Astyanax mexicanus: one gene and its partner. The protein of the gene in region 1 interacts with the protein of each later gene in a pairwise test. Links are inferred from orthologs where the notes say so. Each region holds a gene or a part of one and is shown on either strand. Other genes may lie near its edges.

The links.
Region 2: the proteins of lhx9 (region 1) and khk interact in binary tests that used the Homo sapiens proteins (3 or more experiments, as listed by UniProt). The two-hybrid records come from large-scale screens. The link is inferred for Astyanax mexicanus from reciprocal best matches to the Homo sapiens genes LHX9 and KHK.

The regions. Positions count from the first base shown.
Region 1 is NC_064423.1:21,338,266-21,351,053, reverse strand, and holds the start of lhx9 (LIM/homeobox protein Lhx9), read left to right. Parts: upstream 1-7,254; 5' UTR 7,255-7,363; intron 7,364-8,890; exon of another isoform or gene 8,891-9,838; 5' UTR 9,839-10,044; coding exon 10,045-10,218; intron 10,219-10,957; coding exon 10,958-11,160; intron 11,161-11,585; coding exon 11,586-11,941; intron 11,942-12,788. UniProt on the Homo sapiens protein: Involved in gonadal development.
Region 2 is NC_064421.1:546,505-559,158, reverse strand, and holds the start of khk (ketohexokinase), read right to left. Parts: upstream 5,754-12,654; 5' UTR 5,521-5,753; coding exon 5,426-5,520; intron 4,818-5,425; coding exon 4,701-4,817; intron 3,733-4,700; coding exon 3,598-3,732; intron 2,496-3,597; coding exon 2,361-2,495; intron 309-2,360; coding exon 236-308; intron 1-235. Other genes in the region: ankef1b (ankyrin repeat and EF-hand domain-containing protein 1), read left to right, coding at 10,950-10,958. UniProt on the Homo sapiens protein: Catalyzes the phosphorylation of the ketose sugar fructose to fructose-1-phosphate.

The DNA of each region.
Region 1 (12,788 bases):
ATTTGGAAATCAAGGGAGCAGAGTCTGGAGAAAGAGTGGAGAGGGACTCAGTCCAAGCTGCTTGAGGTCTAGTGTGAAGTTTCCACAATCAGTGATGGTTTGGAGAGACATGTCATCTGCTGCTGTTGGTCCACTGTGTTTTATTATCAAGTCTAAAGTCAGTGCAGTGTTTTCCCGCAAAATCTTACAGCACTTCATGCTTCCCTCTGCTGACAACTTTTATTAAGATAAAATGTAGATTTCATTTTCCAGCAGGATATGCCACACTGCCCACACTAGTTGATGTACAAATAGATGCCTTGTAGATAGATGCTCACTTAACATTTAACTACATATCTATCAACTGTGTATCTATTAAATCCAACTGAAGTCTAGGCTGAATGTAAAGGATTCTCTGTTGACTTTAACCCTACATCTAAACCTTACTCTGACTCCTTGACTTTGAATGAACCCCTAACTTTTAACAGACATTACTGTTTGGTTACTTTTGGTTACTTTTAACAGACATTCTGTTCAGTGTTAGTTGAACGTCTTCATGACATATACTGTATCGTTATACCGCTGCATCCATTTTTTATTCGTATTTGTTTTTTTGTTTTTTAAAGATGGTGTTGTTTTTGTGTCCAGAATGTTTTCCTTCTAACAGTAAAACTTTCAAAAGTCGTGGGACAGGACTTCGATATGTACCATTGAAGCCAAAGAACTAAGTCCCTTACCTGTCCACATGGAAATTCTAAACAGTTGCCACTCTCAGTCTTGATTAGTACCATCCACTGCACTGTCCAATGTGGGTGGTAATGCCTTATAAAAAAATATTCCTGGTACACACGTGACTTTTGAGAATTGAGGAATGTTCTTTGCCAAAAATCTGAATAATTCAGACAGAAATATTTAAGAAAAGTTAGTAAGATAAGTCTATGCTGTCTGTAGCTAACTGAAAGTGTTTGTTGTTGTAAGTATGGGGAGTCAGGATGCTAAAACTCGTGTCAGAGAGACTGGAGACTGAAACTAGATAAGTTCTGCTTGGCCATTTGGATGCTGGCGCCAGTGGGTGTGCAGGAGCTGCTCTGTTCTAGAAATCCTCTCTGAGCTTGGCAGTGATCCACAATGCATGTGGTAGCATTTTCCTCACCTCTTCTCTTAAAGCTCAAACTAAAGATTATCAGCATTTTTAACCATGTTCTGTAATTATAGGTGTCAGATATAGTTGTGCTGTGTTTGTTTGGGTTTTCAGACCATGTGTTATAGGTTATCAGCCAGGAGCAAGAAGTCAAATGTTGGAAAGTGACAGTATTTAAATAGAAATCCATAAAAATTTAAATGACCTATTGACTCTACTGTTGGCTGTTACTGTATTGTTTATGTGAGTGCGCAAAACATGGAAAAGCAATTTGTAAATATAAACCTTTTGCTCTTTAGTAATTATAATTCATATGTGTAAACTAAGCTACAAAATCAGCCCACGTTATTTATTTTCTGAATCAGTTTCTCTGATTTCGCTATTTATAGATTTATGATTGAGTAAAAAGAACATTGTTGTTTTATTCTATAAACTACGGACAGCATTTCTCCCAAATTCAAAATAAGAATATTGTCATTAAGAGCATTTATTTGCAGAAAATGAGAAATGGCTGAAATAACAAAAAAAGAATGCAGAGATTTCAGACCTCAAATAATGCAAAGAAAACAAGTTCGTATTCATAAAGTTTTAAGAGTTCAGAAATCAATATTTGGTGGAACGAACCTGGTTTTATTTACAAATTTCATGCATCTTGGCATGTTCTCCTCCACCAGTCTTACACACTGCTTTTGCATAACTTTAAGCCACTCCTGGTGCAAAAATTCAAGCAGTTCAGCTTGGTTTGATGGCTTGTAATCATCCATTTTCCTCTTGATTATATTCCAGAGGTTTATAATTTGGTAAAATCCAAAAAAACTCTAAAACAGTTTAATGTTTTATGGAAAAGCCTGTAACTTTTACCGAGATCTCAGGCCTTAATTAGCTTGTTAAAACTGTGGCTTGTGCTTCTCTCAATTTTCAGTTGTGTGACTCTAAAATACCATAAAGAAGATTTAGCAGGCTCTGGAATTCTACTCTGGAATGCTGGTGCACTGTTCTACTGTGCAGCAATATCTGAACAAATCTGAGGGTCAGTATCAATAGAATTGCCTTTTGTATTTGCAGTATAGTTGTTTTAAGGAGAAATCCAGTGTGAAATGGACTTGGGGTGTAGTGAAACATGATAATGAGTTCAAACTTGTGTTGAATGCCACACCTCCATTCACCCCCAGCATTCCAAAATACAGAGATTTTAGCTGATGCTCCCAACAGGCTTACAATGCTAGTGATTGGGGCATAGCATTGCCCATGCTAAAAAAAATCACCATTTTTACACAATTAAAAGCTCAAAGTAGCTCCACACTTATTGGAAGAATTCCAAGGGAACTGATACTTTAAGTGGTGAACAGAGGTGGGCTATTCATACTCATTACTACTACCTACACACAAAGTCCATTTCACACCAGATTTTTCTTAAAATTGTATACATTTTACATTTAAAGACTGAAACATTTATTGTTACACAGTGTTTTGTGTAACAATCAATGTTTCAATGTTTAAACTTTGAACTGTACCTTTTATTCAGTTACAGTGTCTATTGGGGTGGTATTTTTGTCTTGTTTGCCATGCTGCCTCATTAATTTGAATCATTATTTTAAGAGTTTAAGAAACCTAATTACATATATTTGTTTAATGCTATTTAATTTTTTTTTATTATGATTATTTATAACTACTTTCACGAAAATATCAACCTATTTAAACATGAGCAAGATTTCCCTCTCATCCCCATCATCCTGGGATAATTGGCCCTGGGATAATAAGAAAGTAACCATTAACGCATGTGACATCACAACCTTAACGCTGTATAATTTTATTTAAGAGACGGAAGACACTTGTTGCATCTTAACCAATTATTTTTTCTTAATAGTTTTTGTATTCTCTCCCTACTAAGCTGAGGTAAGGTTTACACTGTATACCCTGCCATGGTAAAATATATAGGTAATAAAACATATTAAAAAAAAAAAACTGATAAAATTGTCCATCCTGTCATAGTCCACTGACATTGTTGTGCAGCATCCCATGACAGGGTGGACATATGCATGACAGGAAATGAAAAGGTGGAAACATAATGTTATTTAAGCTGGGAAAAATGATTTCTCTGTTGTCTAAAATCGAGTGCATTCCTTAAATTATAATAATTTGTAATAAATTACAATGAATTAATTGAATAATTTAAAATATAATTAATTTCATGGAACAGTATTAGAACAAAACTTTTTCTGCACATTCATCACCAAAATACAGCATCTAAACAAGCTGAATACATAAGATAATAAGAAATAAGTTTAATAATAAGATTAAAATGAAATATTTTGAAGGCAATGACCAGAAGTGTGTTTGGAGAAAAAAGGCTGCAGAATTTATTTAAAAAAAAACACTATCAATTAAATACCAGCAAATACTGGAAGGAGACATCACACCATCTGCATTAACCAGCAGGATACTGATCATAAACACAACTCAAAACCCACAATGGACTACCGCTAAAAGTGTGAGCTGAACGTTTTGCCATGGCCCTCACAGTCTCCCAACCCAAACGCCATTGAATATCTGTGGATAGACTACAAAAGAAGCAGTACTGCGAGACAACCCAAGAGTCTAGAAGTCTTTCACAAGGACGAATGGCCAGAACTTCACTTAACAATTGACAATATAATTATATGGAATTTGAGAGAAATGTTGTTCGAAGTTTATAGAATAAAACAACAATGTTCATTTTACTCAAACATATACCTATAAATAGCTAAACTGATTCAGAAACTGTAGTGGTCTCTTATTTTTTTCCAGAGCTATATATGCATACTGGCCTGGAACCTACACTCTGACCCTACACTCTACACTCCCTTGAAGCTACCTTCTCCTAGGTATGCATTTGTATTCTATGTATTGGTTATTTGCCAAGCTTCAGTGTTATAGTTTTTAAGAACGAGTTACTTGTATTATTCTGTGTTGCTGAGGGAGAATGTGTGTAGACATGGTGCTGGTGTTTGCTTGTGTGCTGCCACAGGATTACAGGATACTGTCAGTGTTACCTATACTTAGTAAAGTACATTAAGGAAATGTTAAGCTCTCTTGTTAATAACTTACTGCATAATTTATTTTAATTTCATTAAAAGTTGTCAAAATGAAATTTGTTAAATGCACAGTATTTGAAATAGCAAGTTAAGTAAATTAAAATGTGCTAGTTTAACCATTTTAAAGATCTATTCGTTTTTTGCTTATCTTTTTAACGTTTACTGTTCATTTTTAAAATCACATCATTGATTTGTAGGAGTGTTTTTTTTTTTTTTTTTACCATGATAAGAACACTGATAGCTTTTGGGTATACATTGTAGAGTAACCAATCTGATGATTCAAGGATCAGTCAGCTCTGAATCACAACGGGGAGAAAAAAATGTTGGGTAGGCAGCAGTTGGACTGTAGGGACTCGAGCTAGTCATACAGAGCCATCCTCCATCTGTCAACACGCGGGGAATAGTGATTGTAGCATCAGCAGAGCAGGGCTCAGCATCAAGAAAAGCAGGCAGAGGGATGGAGGAAGGGAGGAAGGGAAAAAGTTTGTGCGTGTGTGTGTGTGTGTGTGTGTGTGTTGTGTGTGGGGGGGATGGGATGGGAGGTGGTGGTGGTGGTGTAAATTCTCATTAGGCTCTCCAGAATGAACGTCCCCTATCAGAATCAAAGCTCTAAATGCCGGTGCACAGCATCTGCTACGTAAATTCGAGGCTTCCAAAAGTGTAGCATGACAACACAAGACGTTTCTGGGTCCACCGTTTAAACGGATCTGTGTGTGTAAATACTGCGGTGGCTAGGCCACTGCCTGCTCTCACAAGAGCACTGTAAAGGAAGCCCATAAGTAACACAGGAGAATCAGGGGTCTTAAATATTATATGTCAATTAAGAAAAAATGGCTTGTGATGTCTGTGAGGTTTATGTTTTTTTTGTGTGTATCTTTGCTTCATTCAATCACGGCTTCTGCAACAGGAAAGAGTTTTGGTATTACAGAAAATCCAAATTTATAAGTTTATAAGTCATATTTAACATTTGCCGCTTGTTGGTCTATATTCTATGCAGTCTAGTTGGAACTGAAGTATTGGGACATATTCTCTTTCTTTGTTTCTTCCAAAGTCACGGCTATTAAAAATAATCTATCCTGACTTTTTAGGAGTAAAGATATGGAAGACTTTCTGTTACCTTCTGGAACATTGCTGTAAAAATTTGACTGCACTCAGTGCAACTTTCTAAAACATGTCACAAGTACTGGATGGAGCACCAATATTCCAAAGAACACAGTTCTACTGTTCTACTGCTCAACAAATCAGTGCTGGAGTCTTTATACCCCTCTAGCCTAGGCTTGGCATTTGGCACAGGGTCATTGTGTTCATGCTTGTATGTGTATCAGCATGTGTATCATGCCAAAACCTTATATCTCCAATTTGCTGTTTATCATTTTCTGACATTGTATGAATCTTGCAGATTTAAATACTACATTGTGTCTGTTTATCAGAAATACTCTGAAATGCCCTGAAATTAAAACCTTTTGCAGTAACTTTCAATTAAAGAATGCCATATTTGTATACTTCCCTATCCAACAACAGGTTAATGTGTGTCTGGCTCTCTGTCTACAAATTTGGACATGCAGTAACATACATATGTGTGTATATATATAAAGATTTCTTAAGAGTATCCACCTAAAAATGATAACTCAGCTGTAGACTTCCAAATAAATTAAAGGCATTTTGTTAATGTAGCTACTATTAGCTATTAATGTATGTACTTAGCGCTTAAGGTTTTTACTTAGTTAAAATTACCCTTTAATTAAAAGATGCAAAAATCACAATCTCGCTCTCATATATATATATATATATATATATATATATATATATATATATATATATATATATATATATATATATATATATATATATAATTTTACCAAATTGAAAACCTCTGGAATATAATCAAGAGGAAGATGGATGATTACAAGCCATCAAACCAAGCTGAACTGCTTGAATTTTTGCACCAGGAGTGGCATAAAATTATCCAAAAGCAGTGTGTAAGACTGGTGGAGGAGAATGTGCCAAGATGCATGAAAACTGTGCTTAAAAACCAGGGTTATTCCACCAAATATTGATTTCTGAACTTTTAAAACTTATGATATGAATATGAACTTCTTTTCTTTGCATTATTTGAGGTCTGAAAGCTCTGCATCTTTTTTTTGGTTATTTTAGCCATTTCTCATTTGCTGCAAATAAATGCTCTTAATGAAAATATTTTTTGGGAGAAATGTTGTCCGTAGTTTATAGGATAAAAACACAATGTTTATTTTACTCGAACACATACCTATAAATTGTGAAATCAGAGAAACTGGTTTAGATTTTTTTCCAGAACTGTATACAACTTATTTCTTTATTTAATTTTTAATTCTGATGTATCTTGTAATCGTTGTGTGGGCCGGTTAAATACATTACTTTTCAAAAGACTTCGGTTGGGCATTTAAGTTCAAGATCCGTTTTTCTTGTGTTTCCTATAAACGTGGGTAAATAAAAAAATGACTGTGACTCTGAAAGAACGGCATTCATAAGCATCCTGTTCGGCTATTTAGCTTGTTCTACTCAACCCTCTGAAACGCCATGCTTTCCAACCTAAGGTAACGTCTATTATAACAGTGAATGCGTTTTTTTCTACACACATCTGTTCGATGTATTTTACAATTCAACGTCGTATTAACCATGGTGCATTTACAGTCTAATCGTACAGTGATGGTCAAAGCAAGCCTGTACTTTACGCGGGTAACTTTTTTTTTTTAATTGATCAGCAAACGTTTATTTAGACGTTAATTGGTAAGAATCGACTTGTGTCAATACATGATGGCAAGTAAAATGATGGGGCCTATTCCTCTTACTTTCTCAATCTCTCTCTCTGTCTCTCTATCTCACACACACACACACGCAACACACTAAAGCCCAGACTTAGATTTAAAATATTTTCCAGTTTTGTCAAGCCCCGGACGAGGCCTTGCGCTCCAGATCCTCCAGATAAATAATGAAACGCATCACACGCATGTAAATTCGCCTTTCCTAGCGCGGCTCTGTAGTAATTGACACCCACATGGAGGAGAAGAAACAAGGAACAGCCCCCATCTGCTGGTAGGATCCCTCTCGCATCCCTTTCCCTTCCATAGGCTGCAGTGTGGCCATCCTCCTCTCCAGCGCGGCTCAGCGCAGGACGGCACCTCAGCGCACGGTAAAGATCTCCAGCTCTTGCTCTGTTTTAGCTTTTCTCGCCTACAGCTAAATATATATTTATATATTATAGAGATGGTAGTGCCTGACATGCTGGCCATTTCCGAAGAGCCTATAGTATTTATATGAGAGGCTAATAAAAAAAGAGAATTATTATCACTGTAGCCTCGCTGGCATTTTATTTGACATATTTCCATTTATTGTAGACAGGTAATATCAGCGCAGTTCAGATTCAGTTTTAGATTCAGATTCAGGTCAGTTTGTTGGCTGCTGTTGTTGTTGTGTGAGATCGTTGTGAAATTGTCATTAAAACGGTTTTGAAGGAAAAGAGGTTTAAGATTTGATTACAGATTTAGGCCTGATTTGCTGAACGCAGATCTGATAAACAATCAATCAATAATTCGCAATCAATCATTTTAAATAATTGCAATCAGCATTTTTATGCAGCATTATCGTTTTAATTTTTAAACGTCAATTTAATTAAAACATTCTGAAATTCATAATGAAGATAAATTGTATATTTATTATACAGTCACGAAACTGCGTTTTGTGTTTTAATATTTATATTGTGAGAAAAACGGAATTATTCTGTTTCTTTTTCTATTTGTTTTATTTTATTATATGTGATGCAGAAGAAGTAGATACATTTTTATTTTCGTTCTTGTAATTAAATGCAGAAATATAGATCTTAAATATAAAACATACTAAACTAACAAGTAAAGGATTTACTATTTGGAACTATCTGTCGCGTACAAATACCAAAAAAATATAAATTTGCTCTGACAGATGAGAGGATGTTAGTGAGATTATTATCAGATCCATCAGAAAATATATATTTTATAACGGTGCACGTGAGCATTTTTGTTAATCCTCAGGATTTCAGTTAATCTCTCTGATCGAGTTAAATTTGGCGATGGTTGTTTGAATGTGAATCTAATTTTCGGTGTCTTTTTCCGTCACGCCTCACACGATCTGATCAAACTGACAGAGCGAAAAGGGACAAAAGGAGCGGGACATTTACCTCCCATAACACTACTTATGCCTCTAATGGGATATTGTAGTAGTTATTTAATTACAAAATATATATAATAGTAATTTTGTAGTATTGTAAAATAATAACTGCAGGACGGAATGAAAAGACAAGCAGATTTGAATAAATAAGATGAATCATGAATAAGAAGAATACAAATGATTAAAGCTCACTTGCAGGCCAATTACACACACACATTGTATATATTGTACACATGTACACACACACACACATATATATATATATATATATATATATATATATATATATATATATATATATATATATATATATATATATATATATATATATATATGAACAAAACCGCTACTTCCAATTCTAATTTTTTTTAATACAATTTATTACAATTACCTCTCCGAAACAGTGGAATACAAAATAAAAAAATGATCATCTCTGTAATCGACTACTCTACTTCTTTATCATATATTTAAAAAAATAATAATTATAAGATCATCTATAGCTACATCTCTCTCTCTCTCTCTCTCTCTCTCTCTCTCTCTCTCTCTCTCACACACATACCCAAATGATCATATCTAATGAGATCCCACTATACACCAATTGTAAGCGAACCACTTTTACTCCATTATCACCGAAATAAAATCATAAGCTGTTTTTTTATATTATTTCGCACAATTCCTAAACTAAGCCAACACACATCTATCGATCTTCCAGTCCAAGCTATCCCAAAAAGACCAGCAATTGCTTCACAACATCTACCTCAATAATCTTAAATCGTTCACTACCATCACCACCAACACCAAGTTCAAAAAATGTAACAACAATAACCCTAATAATAATAACCCTGTAAAAATGCTGTTCATTCTGAGTGCTTACCACCCCAGTCCACTCACTGACTGAACCCTAAAACCAGAACTTACTGGTGCCTCTCTCTCTACTTCACCAAACGCTCCCTCCCGCCACGAGAAACAAAGCCACAAACCATGAGGACGAAGGAAAGTGCTTAGCTAAAGAGGCTGGAGGTAAGAGTAAACAGCCAGAAACACTGAGATAGCTTTTCCTCAGCGCCCATCAGCAGGGTTTTGAGGAGAGAGTGACAGCTCTTTGTTGGTAAGGAGAAGTCGTTGGAGATAGAGTGAGAGAGAGAGAGATACAGAAAGAGAGAGAGAGAGTGAGGGAGAGGGAGAACTCCTCCTCCCAACTAGCCCAGGCTGGGCAGGCGTGTGCTCTCTCTTCACAAATAGGACACGGGCTCTGCAACTCAGCACAGTCCCAAACTCCACTTTCCAGCACTCGGATCCCTGACAGCAAACCGGGACTATCTCAATCTCACCTTAAAAACACACAACTAGAACTCTTCTATCAGCGCGGCCGAACCACACACACCTTGCCTGCTGTCTGCATTTGCCTTACCACCAGGATTATACTCTGTTTTCTTTCTTTCCTTCTTTTTTCTGTTTTTTAAAGGTCTCAACGGAGTGCAGGGTGCTCCACCGAATGTTCCTGTTTTGCATCGTCTCTTTTGGAGAGGCGGCGCGTTAAAGGTGCCTGCAGTCTTTTTTCCCCCAATTTTTTATACCTTTAGAAATTTTTAGGAGCCTTTTCACGCAATTTTGCATTTTTCGAGCGAGCTGCAGACCCTTTTCGGATGGTCTGAGGCTGCGGAGCGCCGTATGGAAGTGGTGGGGTGCAAGGCAAGAGAAAGCAGTTGCACATTGCGTCCAGCAGCCATGCTTTTCCACGGCATCTCCGGGGAGCACATCCAAGGGATCATGGAGGAGATGGAGAGGAGATCGAAGTCGGAGTCGCGGCTGGCCAAAACGGTCCAGATGAACGGCAGGGAGACGGTGAGATCTTTAACTTCAATATTTGCACAAAAAAAAGGAGTAAAAAAAATGTGGTGTTGAGTCTGAGGCTACTGGTGAGGGAAATCGCTGTTTGCTCTGGTGGGCTAGGCTAGGTCACTGGTTAAAATGAAAAGAATAAAGAATTTGGCCATTTGCAAAAAAACGTAGCTAATAAAATAAAAAAAAAATCAAAGTCCCATCATCAAAAATCGATCGAATGCAGTGAAAAAACAAACAAACTACTAAACAAGCTATTTGTCAAAATATTAGTTGGGCTTTACTGGAGTGTTGGTAATAGTTTAATTACTTGTTTAAATAATTCAGCTACACTTATATAACAACAACAACAACAACAATATTATTATTATTTTTTTAAATGATTATTAATAACAACAACTATTAACGTTAACAATAAAACCAATAATGGGCCTTTTTAAATTGCTACCGGAAATAAGCAAGTGAGGCCTAATCGGACAATCGCTAAAATAACACCCCTAAATCTATTGTTTAACTTTGCCCTTTTCTGGCAAAGTTGTTATTTTGCAAGGTTAGAAAGCTAAACTAATCTGTATTAACAATCACAGCTCATGTGTGTTTTTATTATTATATATTTTTGTGCTTTATTTATTTTACTTCAGGTAAGAGTTGCTTTAAACAGGCTAGCGTGTTTTTCCTTGCGTTAATTTCAATGCTTGACACTCGAGTGAATGTAAGAGGTGTTTGGGTGCTCTCTCCGCAGAGCATGCCCTCCGTGAGCCCGGAGAAACCCGCCCTGTGCGCCGGCTGTGGGTCCAAGATCTCAGACAGGTACTACTTACTTGCGGTGGACAAGCAATGGCACCTCCGCTGCCTCAAGTGCTGTGAATGTAAACTGGCCTTGGAGTCGGAGCTGACCTGCTTCGCCAAGGATGGCAGCATTTACTGCAAAGAGGATTACTACAGGTAAGGAAGCCCGGAAAAAAAGAGGCATTTCTATCTTTCTATCCATCAAAAACACATACAGTACAAAACTTAAAAATTACAGCACTGTCACCAAGAGTGAAACAACTACAAAACTCACTAAGACAACATTTAAAGGGTTTAGCATGACATGCACTGTATACAGGAATATTCCACAAATTAGCGTGGCCACATTTGGACCACCCACATTCATCTAATGAATGAATTTTCATTCCTTGATAACTGCAATTTTGCCTAATTAAAATACCGAACTATGGGCTCACACGGCCTACAGGCCACAGAGCTTCTTGAGAAGATAAATCACTGTCCTTCAAACCTGCAAATGCTTATTAAAACAGATAAACTGGTAAACTGGTGGTAGTGGGGGAAATCGGCCTGTTTGTAAATGGCGTTCTTGACTGTTCCAGAAGGTTCTCCGTGCAGAGGTGTGCCCGCTGCCACCTGGGCATCTCGGCTTCGGAAATGGTGATGCGCGCCCGGGACTCCGTGTACCATCTGAGCTGCTTTACATGCACGTCGTGCAACAAGACGCTGACGACGGGCGACCACTTCGGCATGCGGGAGAACCTGGTTTACTGCCGGGCACACTTCGAGAGCCTGGTGCAGGGGGAGTACCACGCGCCGCTCAACTACGCCGAGCTCGCGGCCAAGGGCGGTGGGCTCGCTCTGCCCTACTTCAACGGCGCGAGCGCAGTGCAGAAGGGCAGGCCACGGAAACGCAAGAGTCCCGCCATGGGCATCGATATCAACACCTACAACTCAGGTAAGGCGCTTTGTTTAGCTACTGCAAGGAGAGGAGGTAAAGGTGGAAAATCGGCAAGCTGAATTTTACTAAACAAGATATACAAAACTAATATTTAACACAAACTGAAGACTTACAATAGTAAAAATGAAGTTAACTCAAAAATTACAATCAACATAATTTAAAACATTATTTTAAAGTTAAATATTCAATGCAGCATTAAATGATATTAGTAAAACAAAAATCAAACATATGGAATATAAATTAAATTAAAAGTGGAAAAAGAATAAATCAATATTAAACATAATATTTAGTTAAAAATGAAAATCCACAAAAGAAGACAATGTCAAATTAAATGTCTCAATCAAAAATAATACTAAATGTATATTATAATGTTTTAAATGAAAACTTACCAAAGTAACTTTTTAAATGCAGTTAAAATTTAACATGCTTTTAAATAAAGAAATAACGATGATAGTTAAAACCACCACCACAATTTAATTTGTAGGACTGAAAAATAATATATATAAAACACACACCGATTTAAAATCAATAAATTAAAAACAAAAGCCTTTCAATCTAATTAAAAATTAAAGGTTACAAAAAGTGACAGTTTCTTTCTCGGGCATTCACATTCCCAGGTCAACGAATCTACATTTGTCCTGAACTGAAATTTTATTTGAGCCATATATTTTTTATTGCTAAAAACAAAATATAACAAAACAAAACAAACGAACTAAAGATATAGATATAGACTTAAATATATTGTGTATATATATATATATATATATATATATATATATATATATATATATATATATATATATATATATATTTTAACTTATATAGACAAGTTTAGCAATGACGG
Region 2 (12,654 bases), on another chromosome or scaffold:
AGGGTGTTTCCAATAAAGTGGCCACCCACAGTGAGAGGATTGGAAGCACAAGGTATGTAAAGGTAGGGTGTTTCCAATAAAGTGGCCACAGTGAGTGGATTGGAAGCACAAGGTGTGTAAAGGTAGGGTGTTTCCAATAAAGTGGCCACCCACAGTGAGTGGATTGGAAGCACAAGGTGTGTAAAGGTAGGGTGTTTCCAATAAAGTGGCCACAGTGTGTAGGGTCTGATCTCACCTCCCAGTGGATCCATTTATACTGACTCAGGTCCAGTTTTGAGAAATCCTCAGCTGTTACATCAGGCAGGTTTCTGATTGGACGAAGAAGCAGATAAGAGAGATAAACACACCGTACCTGTTCACACTGATCTATTAGACTTTCACACTCACACAAACACACACACACACACTCAGTCACGCCTGCAGGTGCTGGGTCTGATAGCGTGTGATTGGACTGTGTATTATGAGATATAAATGATATGATTTTATAACTTTATTACAGAGAAAGGAAAACTTCCACGAGCTGTTAAATCTCAGCATTAACTTCACAGAGCTGGACTTCACCTCCCTCAACCAATCAGAGCGGAATAAACGCTGATATCAGACCCTGATTAATAATCAGACAGGAGAACTCCAGACCCGGAGCAAACGTCCAGCAAGAGCCGAGATCCATTAACTCCAAACCTTTACAATCCTCTCCTCTCCAAACATTTCCTAAAAAAAACTCCCATTTACTTTCTTATACTGATTTAATTTACTTCTAAAATTTCAAAAAGTTACTCATAAATTACTAAACTCATCCAAACTATGAAGAAAAACATATTCAATTATTTAATAAACAAAAAAGTGGATTAGTATCTCTCTTTTGTGTTTTTTTTATCCTCTGTGATTTTATTCTTGTCCAGAACGATCATGTAGGTGTTTTTCTCAGACGTCCTCTGAGAAAATTACAGGCTGAATTATCTACTGTTTTTCTCTGAACTCCGTGCTCCTCCGGTAATTTTAGTCCTGTCCGGACGCACCTCTCTGAGTTTCGTCTCCTCGCCTTTAATAAAATAGATATTTGTCCACTGCCGCGCACCGCAATTACACTTTGGACACGCCACGGTTTCCACGGAGATCCACGTTAAAAACACAATAGTGAGTGGAAATGGAGGAGCTACTGAACTCTGCGATGTCATGTGATCGAGAAAAAAGCCTAAAAACTCACTGATCCTCCTGTTTTTACAATTGCAGTCCAGATGCAGGAGTTTTATCACTAAAGAGTAGAGACATGAAATATTTTACACAGGGCTGTAGTTTTATATTTTAGATTCTTTAAAGTAGCTCCTCTTGTTTAGATGATGAGTTTTGAACATCTCTGCTGGATTTTCTCAGTCAGTTTTATGAGGTAGAGTCTCCTGGAATTCAGGCTTTCAGTTAACAGCTGTGCTGAACTCATCAAGAGTTAATTACTTGAATTTCTTGTCTCTTAATAAAGTGTTTGAGAGCATCAGTTAAAGTAAAGTAGTGAAGAGGTAGAGTTACAGGTATACAGTGAATAGTGAATATTTCAGTAATGTTCGAATCCAGATTATGAGAAGCAACAAATACTCAACTAAATATAATGATGAAACTGGCACTCATCAGGACCGCCCCAGGAAAGAAGAGCAAGAGTTTCCTCTGTTGTACAGGATGAGTTTATCAGAGTTTCCAGCCTCAGAAACCACAAGTTTACAAACAGCTCCTCAGATAAGAGTATCTAAATACTTCACTTAAAAACACTTTTAAGTTACTACATGATTCATTATGTGTTCCTTCATAATCTGATAAATCACTTTACTATTCATGTAATATGTGGTAAAAAATAAAAAACATTGAATGATAAGGTGTGTCCAAACTTTTGACTGGTGCTGTATATCCAATCAGAGTACAGCTCAGTCTTAAACAGTCTAAAAACTTACAAATTTAATGCAACAATTTAATAAATATCATGCATGTCTTATTTGATGAATTATAGAACTCTAATTGTGTTTGAAATTGTGAAAATTACAAAAACATGCAACTAATTACCATATTAATTCAGCATGCAGGGTAATCGTGGGTCAGGAAGCCATGATTAGTAAATGCGATCAACTATCGAACAGAATTAATCCGAATTATTACAGAACCACTGCAGAGACACGCTTAATAACACGGCCCAGATCAAAGCAGTTTAGCTCCTCCCACTTATCTTACAGCAGTTTAGCTCCGCCCATTCAGCCTACAGCAGTTTAGCTTCTCCCATTCATTAAGGTAATGAAGAAGCGTTTGAGGTCGCTGCAGTGGACTGGTTAGCTCTCATTGGTTCTGATGGAGGTCATGTGACCGGCGGCCTGTCTTACGTGTCGGAGAGAACGACAGTACGCGTCCCGGTGCTCGGACACACCACACAGCAAGCACACGGCGTCTCACCCCGCGACTGCCACGCCACGCCCGACACGTCCACCCCACGCCGACCAAAATCACCCACGATGAAGCTGAGAGAGAGAGAGACAGCACCCAGTGCTTAGACTGAGAGAGAGAGACAGCACCTAGTGCTTAGACTGAGAGAGAGAGACAGCACCCAGTGCTTAGACTGAGAGAGAGAGACAGAGAGACAGCACCCAGCGCTTAGACTGAGAGAGAGAGACCGAGAGAGACAGAGAGAGATAGAGAGATAGAGAGAGAGAGAGCACCCAGCGCTTAGGCTGAGAGAGAGAGACCGAGAGAGACAGAGAGAGATAGAGAGATAGAGAGAGAGAGAGCACCCAGCGCTTAGGCTGAGAGAGAGAGACAGAGAGAGAGAGACAGAGAGACAGCACCCAGAGCTTAGACTGAGAGAGAGAGACAGAGAGACAGCACCCAGCGCTTAGACTGAGAGAGAGAGACAGAGAGAGATAGAGAGATAGAGAGAGAGACAGCACCCAGCGCTTAGGCTGAGAGAGAGAGACAGCACCCAGTGCTTAGACTGAGAGAGAGAGACAGAGAGAGAGAGACAGATAGACAGCACCCAGCGCTTAGACTGAGAGAGAGAGAGACAGAGAGAGATAGAGAGAGAGAGAGAGAGAGAGAGAGAGAGAGAGCACCCAGTGCTTAGACTGAGAGAGAGGTAGAGAGAGAGAGACAGAGAGAGAGAGACGGAGAGAGAAACGGCGAGAGAAACAGAGAGAGAGAGAGAGAGAGAGACGGAGAGAGAGACAGAGAGAGAGAGACGGAGAGAGAGACAGAGAGAGAGACAGAGAGAGAGACGGAGAGAGAGAGAGAGAGAGAGAGAGAGACAGAGAGAGAGAGAGAGAGACTGCCGCCTGCTGACAGAACCTGTAAAACCATCAAAATCATGCACCGCTGGCGCGAGAGTTAGTGAGCACAGCGCCACATCACCACCTAGTGGTCAGACTGAGAAGTGCAGCACGCTAACAGTTACAAGTTCTGACTTTCTGATGCATCGCTGTACCGTGGGGATGAGAAACACACACACACATATACACACACACACACTCACACACACACATACACTCACACTCACACACACACATACACACACACACACACATACACTCACACACACACTCACACACACACATACACACACACACACACCTGTTCATGTGCAGGATGGTGCGGCTGCCTGTGGTCTGATTGCTGATTACTACAGACGCGGGGAAGGAGCAGTGCTCGTGCTCCAGCAGGAGAGAGACGTCAATCTTGTACTGTTTAAAATCATTCAGAACGAAACTGCAGGAATAAATTAGTGAGTAATTCAAACACACACACTCTCACACACACACTCTCTCACACACACACTCTCACACACACACACTCTCACACACACACTCTCACACACACACTCTCACACACACACTCTCTCACACACACACTCTCACACACACACACTCTCACACACACACTCTCGTACACACACACACACTCTCACACACACACTCTCGTACACACACACACTCTCACACACACACTCTCGTACACACATCTGCCCACATGTGTTGCTGCCTCTCATGGTAGGGCTTCTAAGTGGCATTTTTCAGCAGGATAATGCTCACTCACACACAGCAAGAGATTCCTTCATACCAGCATTTATGGAGCAGCTGAGACTCTGCAGCTTCAGCTTCAACCTACGAGTGTAGAGCTACAGGATCTACAGGCCCAGCTGTAGCAACATCTGTGGGTAAATGTGTGGGTGATATATTTGCGGTGCATATATCAATATATCCACACACATCTATTATGTATGCATGAATATATATATATATATTTTTTGCCAATTTAATGCAGCCCTAATATACAGCACTTCAGTTTCTGAATCAGTTTCTCTGATTTTACTATTTATAGGTTTATGTTTGAGTAAAATGAACATTGTTGTTTTATTCTATAAACTACAGACAACATTTCTCCCAAATTACAAATAAAAATATTCTCATTTAGAGCATTTATTTACAGAAAATGAGAAATGACTGAAATAACAAAAAAGATGCAGAGCTTTCAGACCTCAAATAATGCAAAGAAAACAAGTTCATATTCATAAAGTTTTAAGAGTTCATAAATAATCAATATTTGGTGGAATAATCCTGGTTTTTAATCACAGTTTTTTTCATGCATCTTGGCATCATGTTCTCCTCCACCAGTCTTACACACTGCTTTAGGATAACTTTATGCCTTTAAGGTGATTTATAGTAATTAATACTTACTCAGCTACAGGTCCTGGAGCTAAAGAACCCATAAAGGCACAGGGCGCCCCCAATAGGGAGAGGATGGTACAGGAGTTTGATGCATTTCCACCCCTCTGCCATCGCTGCGATACACACCTACCAACACACACACACACATTATACACACACACACACACACACATGCATGCATGCATTTACAGATAGACATTAGAAGTGTATAAATGCAGTAAACTGAATTAAACACAGGCTGCAGCTCAGTCTACTGCACCAGCTCTATTCTGCACTGTCTGACTTTAAAAATGCAAAAGAAGCACCATATCAGAGCATGTTCTCAGCGGAAGTCAATGTAGATTTTGTTATAGAGCATGAATCACTATATTATTGTAAAGTTATGGCAGTGAGAGGTCATTACAAACTACTTTTGTATGTTTTAAAATAATAATTATAATATTTATTATTATTAATTTTCATTTGCTCTTTTGTGCAATAACAGTCCAGAGTCCAGGTTGTTTAATGCACATAAAAAATCAGAAAAAAAATATATTATAAAAAAACCCACGAGAAATAGTTAATAACTGTAGGTCAGCGCATGCGCAGTGCCTTTAGAAAGCAGAAGAAGCACGTATCAATGGGTAGCATAACTCGAGTAAACACTCGGTTTATTATACAATAATCCGAATGATCTAAAAATGCAGTAAAAGTAAAAGCAATAAACCGGTTTTCAGTGTAAACCTGCAGCAGACCTGCTGTCCGTGTCCTCTTCCGGGTATTTATCCACCACATTAATGATGTCCAGACACACCAGGCCGATACACAGCACCTTCCCCTGCCGCTCCATCCCGCGGGCCGCGCTGCTGGACTCTGGACACGGGGGTAAAGGGGCGGAACAGCGCGCGGGTCCGCAGCTCCGGTCCGGATCGCCGGCCGAGCTTCACCGAGCCCACACGAACCGCCCCAAGCCTCTGTTTATGTAGTTCCACCAGCGGCCGCCAGAGGGGGCACTGTACCGCCGGTTCAGCCACACACACACACAAACACTATACACACACACACTCTATACACACACACACTATATACTACACACAAACTACACACACACACACACACACACTATACACACTATACACTACACACAAACTACACACACACACTACACACACACTATACACACACATACACTCACATACACACACACACACACTATACACACACATACACTCACATACACACACACACACACACACTATACACTCACATACACTCACATACACACACACACTATACACACTATACACTACACACAAACTACACACACACACACACACACAAACACTATACACACACACTCTATACACACACACACTATACACACTATACACTACACACAAACTACACACACACACACACACACTACACACACACTATACACTCTCACACACACACACACTATACACACACACACACACACTATACACACACACTATAAACACACAACTACACACACACACACACACACACACACACACACACACACACACACACATATATTAAAATACCTCCCTAAAACTTTTATTATAATACACTATAACAACACATTATTACCTTATTAATCAATAATCATTAAATACTTAGTCATAAAATACATATGAAGTATTGCATACTTCAACAAGTATTTAAAAAGGAAAAAGGTGGGAAAAATACCCCAAAACAGTGCAGACACTGAACTTCAGCCTCTCATTCAGCCTGTTCATTTGTTGTTAAGTGAATCATTCGCGATGATACAACAAATATAATATAATATAATATAATATAATACATTTTAATGGTACAAAAATCATAGGCAGCCAAGATGTCTCTGTATATGGAAACTGGAAATACTGGCTGTTCACTCACAACACTCACAACACTCACTTTAATAGACTGTTTACAGTTTTTCTGGATTGTTTACACACAATTTCTGGTACTTGAGACACAATGACCACAACATGTAACTTACGTACCAACCCCTTGAACCAGTTCTGCTAAACTACAAGCACAATTCCTGCTTAACACTCAAACTGCAGTTCTAAAACACATTTTCAAAACGCTGCATACACAATTTTCTGCATTTGGCACAATTTTCATGAATAAAATCTCTTGTTTTCACAAGGAACACACTGTTATTCAAAACTCTAAAGTTTAAAAGTCTACTTTGCACACTGACTGGTCACATGGGCAAACACCCTTCACACAGGTTATACAATCAGCAATCAAAACTTTAGCAGACCCAAACAGAAGACAGGATGCAGCATAGTTTTTTTTTTTTTTACTCTAACTTTATACAATAAATTCTTCTGTTGTTTTGTATGTAAATCACTGCATCTTTGTGTTGGTTGCATTGTACACTGTGTGCATTGTTTTTATTGGAAAAATAAAATATATTTTTACTGTGTATTTGTGTGTTCTGAGTATAAAAACAATGTTATTAAATATTTACAACGCACTTATGTATTTACTGTCTGTAGTAAGTGTAACACTGAACAAAAAATGACAAAAGTCATTATGATGAATGGAGAATTGTGTTTTACACTGGGCACATCAGTGTTCAGCTGCTTCTTTTGAGTGTCTGTTCATATGATGGTTTGTGTGTATCATCTAAACACAAAATAGCCTTTTTTGAAGAGATAACACTGTTTTGAATGTAAAGTTTCATTTTGCAGGATAATTGAAGGGTTTTGCCTACTGTGTGCTTGTTTGTTGGATTTGTGTTTAGAGTTCTGAGAATATGAGGCATGTTCTCAGAAAATGTGTGTAAACAATCCAGAAAAACTGTAATTGGCTATAATATTAGTGTTCATGATTTTTTACATTACATTACATTACATTTGGCAGACGCTTTTGTCCAAAGCGACTTCATAAGTTGGTGCTGATTTATTTTTATTGCTTTCATTTACTTTAAAGTAAATGTTTTAAGTGAATTATATAATGAATAAATGAAATACTTATTCAATATGATCAGACAAACTAGATTCTAAATGAAAACTGAATACTGAAATACTGGCTGACTGAAACACTGTACTGGACTTGGTGCTGATTTTATTTCATTTTATAATTAATTGTGTTTGTTTTTAATTAATTTATTTTTGTTTTAGTTGCTGTATTCTATTGTTTACATATAAAAAGCAGCAGCTGTTACCACGACTTAGAAGCTGCACTGTTATGCTAAGATAAGCTAAGCTAATCAAAGCAAAGCTAAGACAAGGTAAGCTAAGCTAGGCTAAGTTAAGATACATTAAGTTTAGCTCACCGAAGCTAATCTAAGCTAAGATACGGTAAAATAAGCTAAGCTAAACTAAGGTAAACTAAGCTAAGGTAAAATAAGCTAAGCTAAACTAAGGTAAGCTAAGCTAAGGTAAAATAAGCTAAACTAAGGTAAGCTAAGGTAAAATAAGATAAGATTAACTAAGGTAAGCTAAGATAAGGTAAAATAAGCTAAGCTAAACTGAGGTAAAATAAACTAAGCTTAACTAAAGTAAGCTAAGCTAAGGTAAAATAAACTAAGGTAAGCTAAGCTAAGGTAAATTAAACTAAGCTAAACTAAGGTAAGCTAAGCTAGTGTAAGCTAAGATACGTCAAGTTAAGATAAGGTAAGCTAAGGTAAAATAAGCTAAGCTAAACTAAGGTAAGCTAAGCTAGTGTAAGCTTAGATACGTCAAGTTAAGCTAACTGAAGCTAAGGTAAGATACGATACGCTAAAGAAAGCTAAGTTAAGCTAAGCTGTGTTAAAATAAATTAAGTTAAGCTAACCGAAGCTAAGGTAAAATAAGCTTGGTTAAAATCAGGTAAGATAAGACAAAAAACTAAGATAAAATAAGCTACATTAAAATAAGGTAAGCTAGGGTAAAATAATAAAAAAATATTTAAGTAAGCTAAGCTTGGTTAAACTAAGGTACGTTAGCGTATGCTAAGCTAAGATATGGTAAAATAAGCCACGATAAGAAATGCTAAGATAAGGAAAGGTAATATAGGGTGAGCTAGGCTATGCTATAAGTTAAGTGAAGCTAAGCTAAACTAAGCTAAGCTAAGATATGGTAAAATAAAAAAGGAATGCTAAGGTAATATAAGCTAAGTTAAAATAAGCTAGGGTAATATAAAGTAAGGTAAGCTTATATAAATAAAAGTAAGCTAAGAAAAGCTAATCTAGGGTAAGTTGAAATAAGTTAAGTGAAGCTAAGCTAAAGTAAGTTAAAGTAAGATCAGTACTAATATCAGATACACCTCACAGATCTCTGTGGTGATCGGGATCAGGTAGATTTATATTATTATTAGATTTTATTTGTATTGGTTAACATTTATTAAAATTTATGGTTAGCGCAATGCTAATCTGATAGTGCTAATCTTAAAACTCTCCAATTTCTCACAGAAAAAAAGATATTTGTATTTTTATTACATTTTTATCCTACACCAGTTTGGAGATTGTGGAGTGATTTGATAAAATGTAAGGAGGAGAATCTAAATTAGTTAACTCGATTTTTTGTTCATTTAGAGTAATAAAACAAAAGGACAAACATATTATATACATATACATGTGTAATATATTCTTATTAAATGTGGCACAATGCATTAGTTAGGTTAACTGACCTAATATGATTTGAAAACAAAACAATTTTAAATAATAACTTTAGTAGACTTTAAAAGCAGAAATGAAAATGCTTCTCTAGGAAGGTAACGACAAATAGCCAAACGTTGTAATTTTCTTACAATGTTTTTTGTTTGCTAGAATCAAAGTCTGGGGATTTCTTAGCAGGCTATTATCTTTGTTTGTTTTATACACAAACCAATATGATCTGACAACAAATCCATTTTAAATTATTTAAAACTTAGGTGCTATCTACTTTACGTTTCTCTGACCAGCAACAGTTAAAATGTGTTTCAAAGCATGCAAGTAATACAGTTTATTTTAACCCACTTGTTGAAAAAGACAAAAATGTAGAAGTAAGTTTTAGAACACACTTTAGTTTTTTTTTTTTTTTCAGTTTATTTTGCTTATTTAAGCTGTTCATTTCCAGTAAATGTAGCCTGAAAGGGCACAAAATCCAGCAAACTTAAATCATACACAAGTTAGCAGTAAACTAATACTAAACTAAAACTAAAACCAATAACTAGTAAACTTTTAAGAAAAAACAAAAACAACGAAACACTGACAAAATAGTAGTATAAGAAGTATAAAAAAGGGGATGAGGGTGCTTTTTAAAAAAGCAAGTAGCTGGTTGTAACAGCTTACAACTGGTCTGTTGTAATGAAAAATAAACTGAGCTTTGGAAATGGGTTTTAAAAAAATTGAATTTCCAAACTCTCTGCAGTAAAGCTGTAGTGCTGGAACAGATGGAGTTACTGCTGTTACTCTCTACTGCAGCAGCATTTACACACTTTCATCATCATAATAACTAGTAAAAAACTGTAGAGAACTCTGTAACTATTAAAAGTAGAAGTTCTTTCTTTTCTTTAGAGAAATTACAGATACAGAAGTCAGAGAGCGGTGAGTACTGTTTCCTCCACCTTCAAATAAAGACTCTTAGAAACTGGAGAAAAAAAACTGCTACAGGAAGACGTCTGGCTGACCCACATGGAAACAGCAGCTTTAGCCTTTAGCTCAGATTAACATGATTAAGAACTGAGTCTCAGTTTCAGCAGAGAAGAGAAAAAGAATTGAAGTAAGTCTGAGTCACTGATAAGATAAAGAGAAAATAAAAACATCACTGCAGCTACTGCACTACTGGGGTAAACAATTGTGGTATTCTAAATCTTATGACCACTATTTCTTAATATGTGAAGTACATTTCAGATACATTTCCAATAGATTGTTTAATTTTAATTTTCATACATTTTCAGTGCAATTGTAAATGCATTTCATATATATTATTTTTCCTTATGAGGTTACTCTACAGCATGATTAGTTTTTAATATTAACTCTATATAAATCTCAGTTTTTCAGTGTTTTAGTGTAAGTGTAAAGCTGATTTTGCCCGTGGTGGTGTTGTATAGCAGTGTAAAGTCGTGTGTAATGGGTGTTAATGTGTGCTAACAGGAAGAAAAGCATACAATAGAGGCTGAAAACAATAGGCGAGGGGTCAGACCGGCCCAGTTCCCCCAGTTCAGCTGGGTCTGTTGCTGGGAGATGGTGGGAAACACTCCAGTGATCTGCAGGAGGTTTGTGAGGATCTGCCAGCGTTCTGCTCTGATTCCTCTCTCAACTCTTTAATCAGCTGGATGATCTGAGTCTCAGAAATGCACAGGGTGAGTATTGTATCTGTGATTAACTCTAATCTGAAGTTCTGATTAGATAGATAGATAGATAGATAGATAGATAGATAGATAGATAGATAGATAGATAGATAGATAGATAGATAGATAGATACTTTATTTATCCCGAAGGAAATTTAGGATTAGTGTAGAATTCACTGTAGAGTTACCCCCTGCACTACAGGCCTGTTATACAGTCAATTAGTAACCTTAAAACACAGGAACTACTGCGAAACATTCATTAAACAGTAAAAAATACCAAGTATTTACTATTATAAAAGTAGTATCTACTGTTAGTAGTAGTTATTAAGTATTTACAATGCATTATTTATTATCTACTATGAATTATTATTTTAAAAGATATCCCTAATAGTTTCTACTTACTGCGAGTTATACAGATAGATAGATAGATAGATAGATAGATAGATAGATAGATAGATAGATAGATAGATAGATAGATAGATAGATAGATAGATAGATAGATAGATAGATAGATAGATAGATACTTTATTTATCCCGAAGGAAATTTAGGATAGTATTCACAGTATACACAGTATTCACTAAAAATTATTCAACTATGTCCACTATGGGTTATTCAGTATTGACTATAAATTAATCAGTACCTACTACAAATTATGCAGCTTGTATTATAAAATAATCTGTAGGCACTATGAATCATTTTTCATTCTCTTTTTAGCTTTCCATGTAAATGATTTAATAGTAGAATATCTACTATTATTTGTTCGTCAACTACTGTGAATTATCCTGTGAATAGTAACTATTATGAAGTATTTATTATCTACTATTATTTATTCAGGGTCTACAGCAAATTTGCTTAATTTGTTAAGTGGACACTAAAAATGTTGATTTAACTCAATTTTATTTATCGTGTTCTATAATTTATTATTATTTTTTCAGAATCCATTATGAATTATTCAGCAGCTACATTTAATTATTCATTTACTGATTTAAATTTTAACTATTTTGAATCAGTTATTATGCACTTTCAATAATTTATTATTCAGCGTTAACTGTGCATTATGCTTTATGGATTTTTCGGAATTCACTATTTGTTTTAGTTAGTACTATATCATATTCTGTAACCCAGATAAACCCTTATGCCTTAAAAAAGTTAAGTAATGGGCAATGAAAACATAAGTTAGCATAACTTAAAATATCAAGTAAATATACCTTAAAAAGGAAAATTTATTTAACTTTTTAATTTTCTTATACAAATTTATTTACCCAACAATTCTACCTACCAAGTAAATAAATATGTTGATTTCTACTTACTTTTCTTTTTAATTCCATTTTACTTATTGTGTATGTTGAAATATTCAAGAATAAACAGACCAACAATAACATAATTTTAGTTTTATTTCATTTTTAAAGTATTTACTTGAAATACAACAAATAATGATCATGAATAAATCAGAAACAATGCCTGTTTGGTCAGTGTAACATTTAACAGTTTAATTTTCTGACCATATCAATCTAAATTTAAAAATAGAAAAGTGGATATAAATCTTAATTTAATATATTTTTTTCCATTCAGTATTGTAAATAAGAAATGTGTTTTTGTTTAATCCAAATTTTCCATTATCTAGTTTTTCATTTTAACCTTTCGCTTACAAAAAAATTAAACGAAATTAAAGGTTGAATCTTCTCTTGATTTTCAGAGTTGTCCATT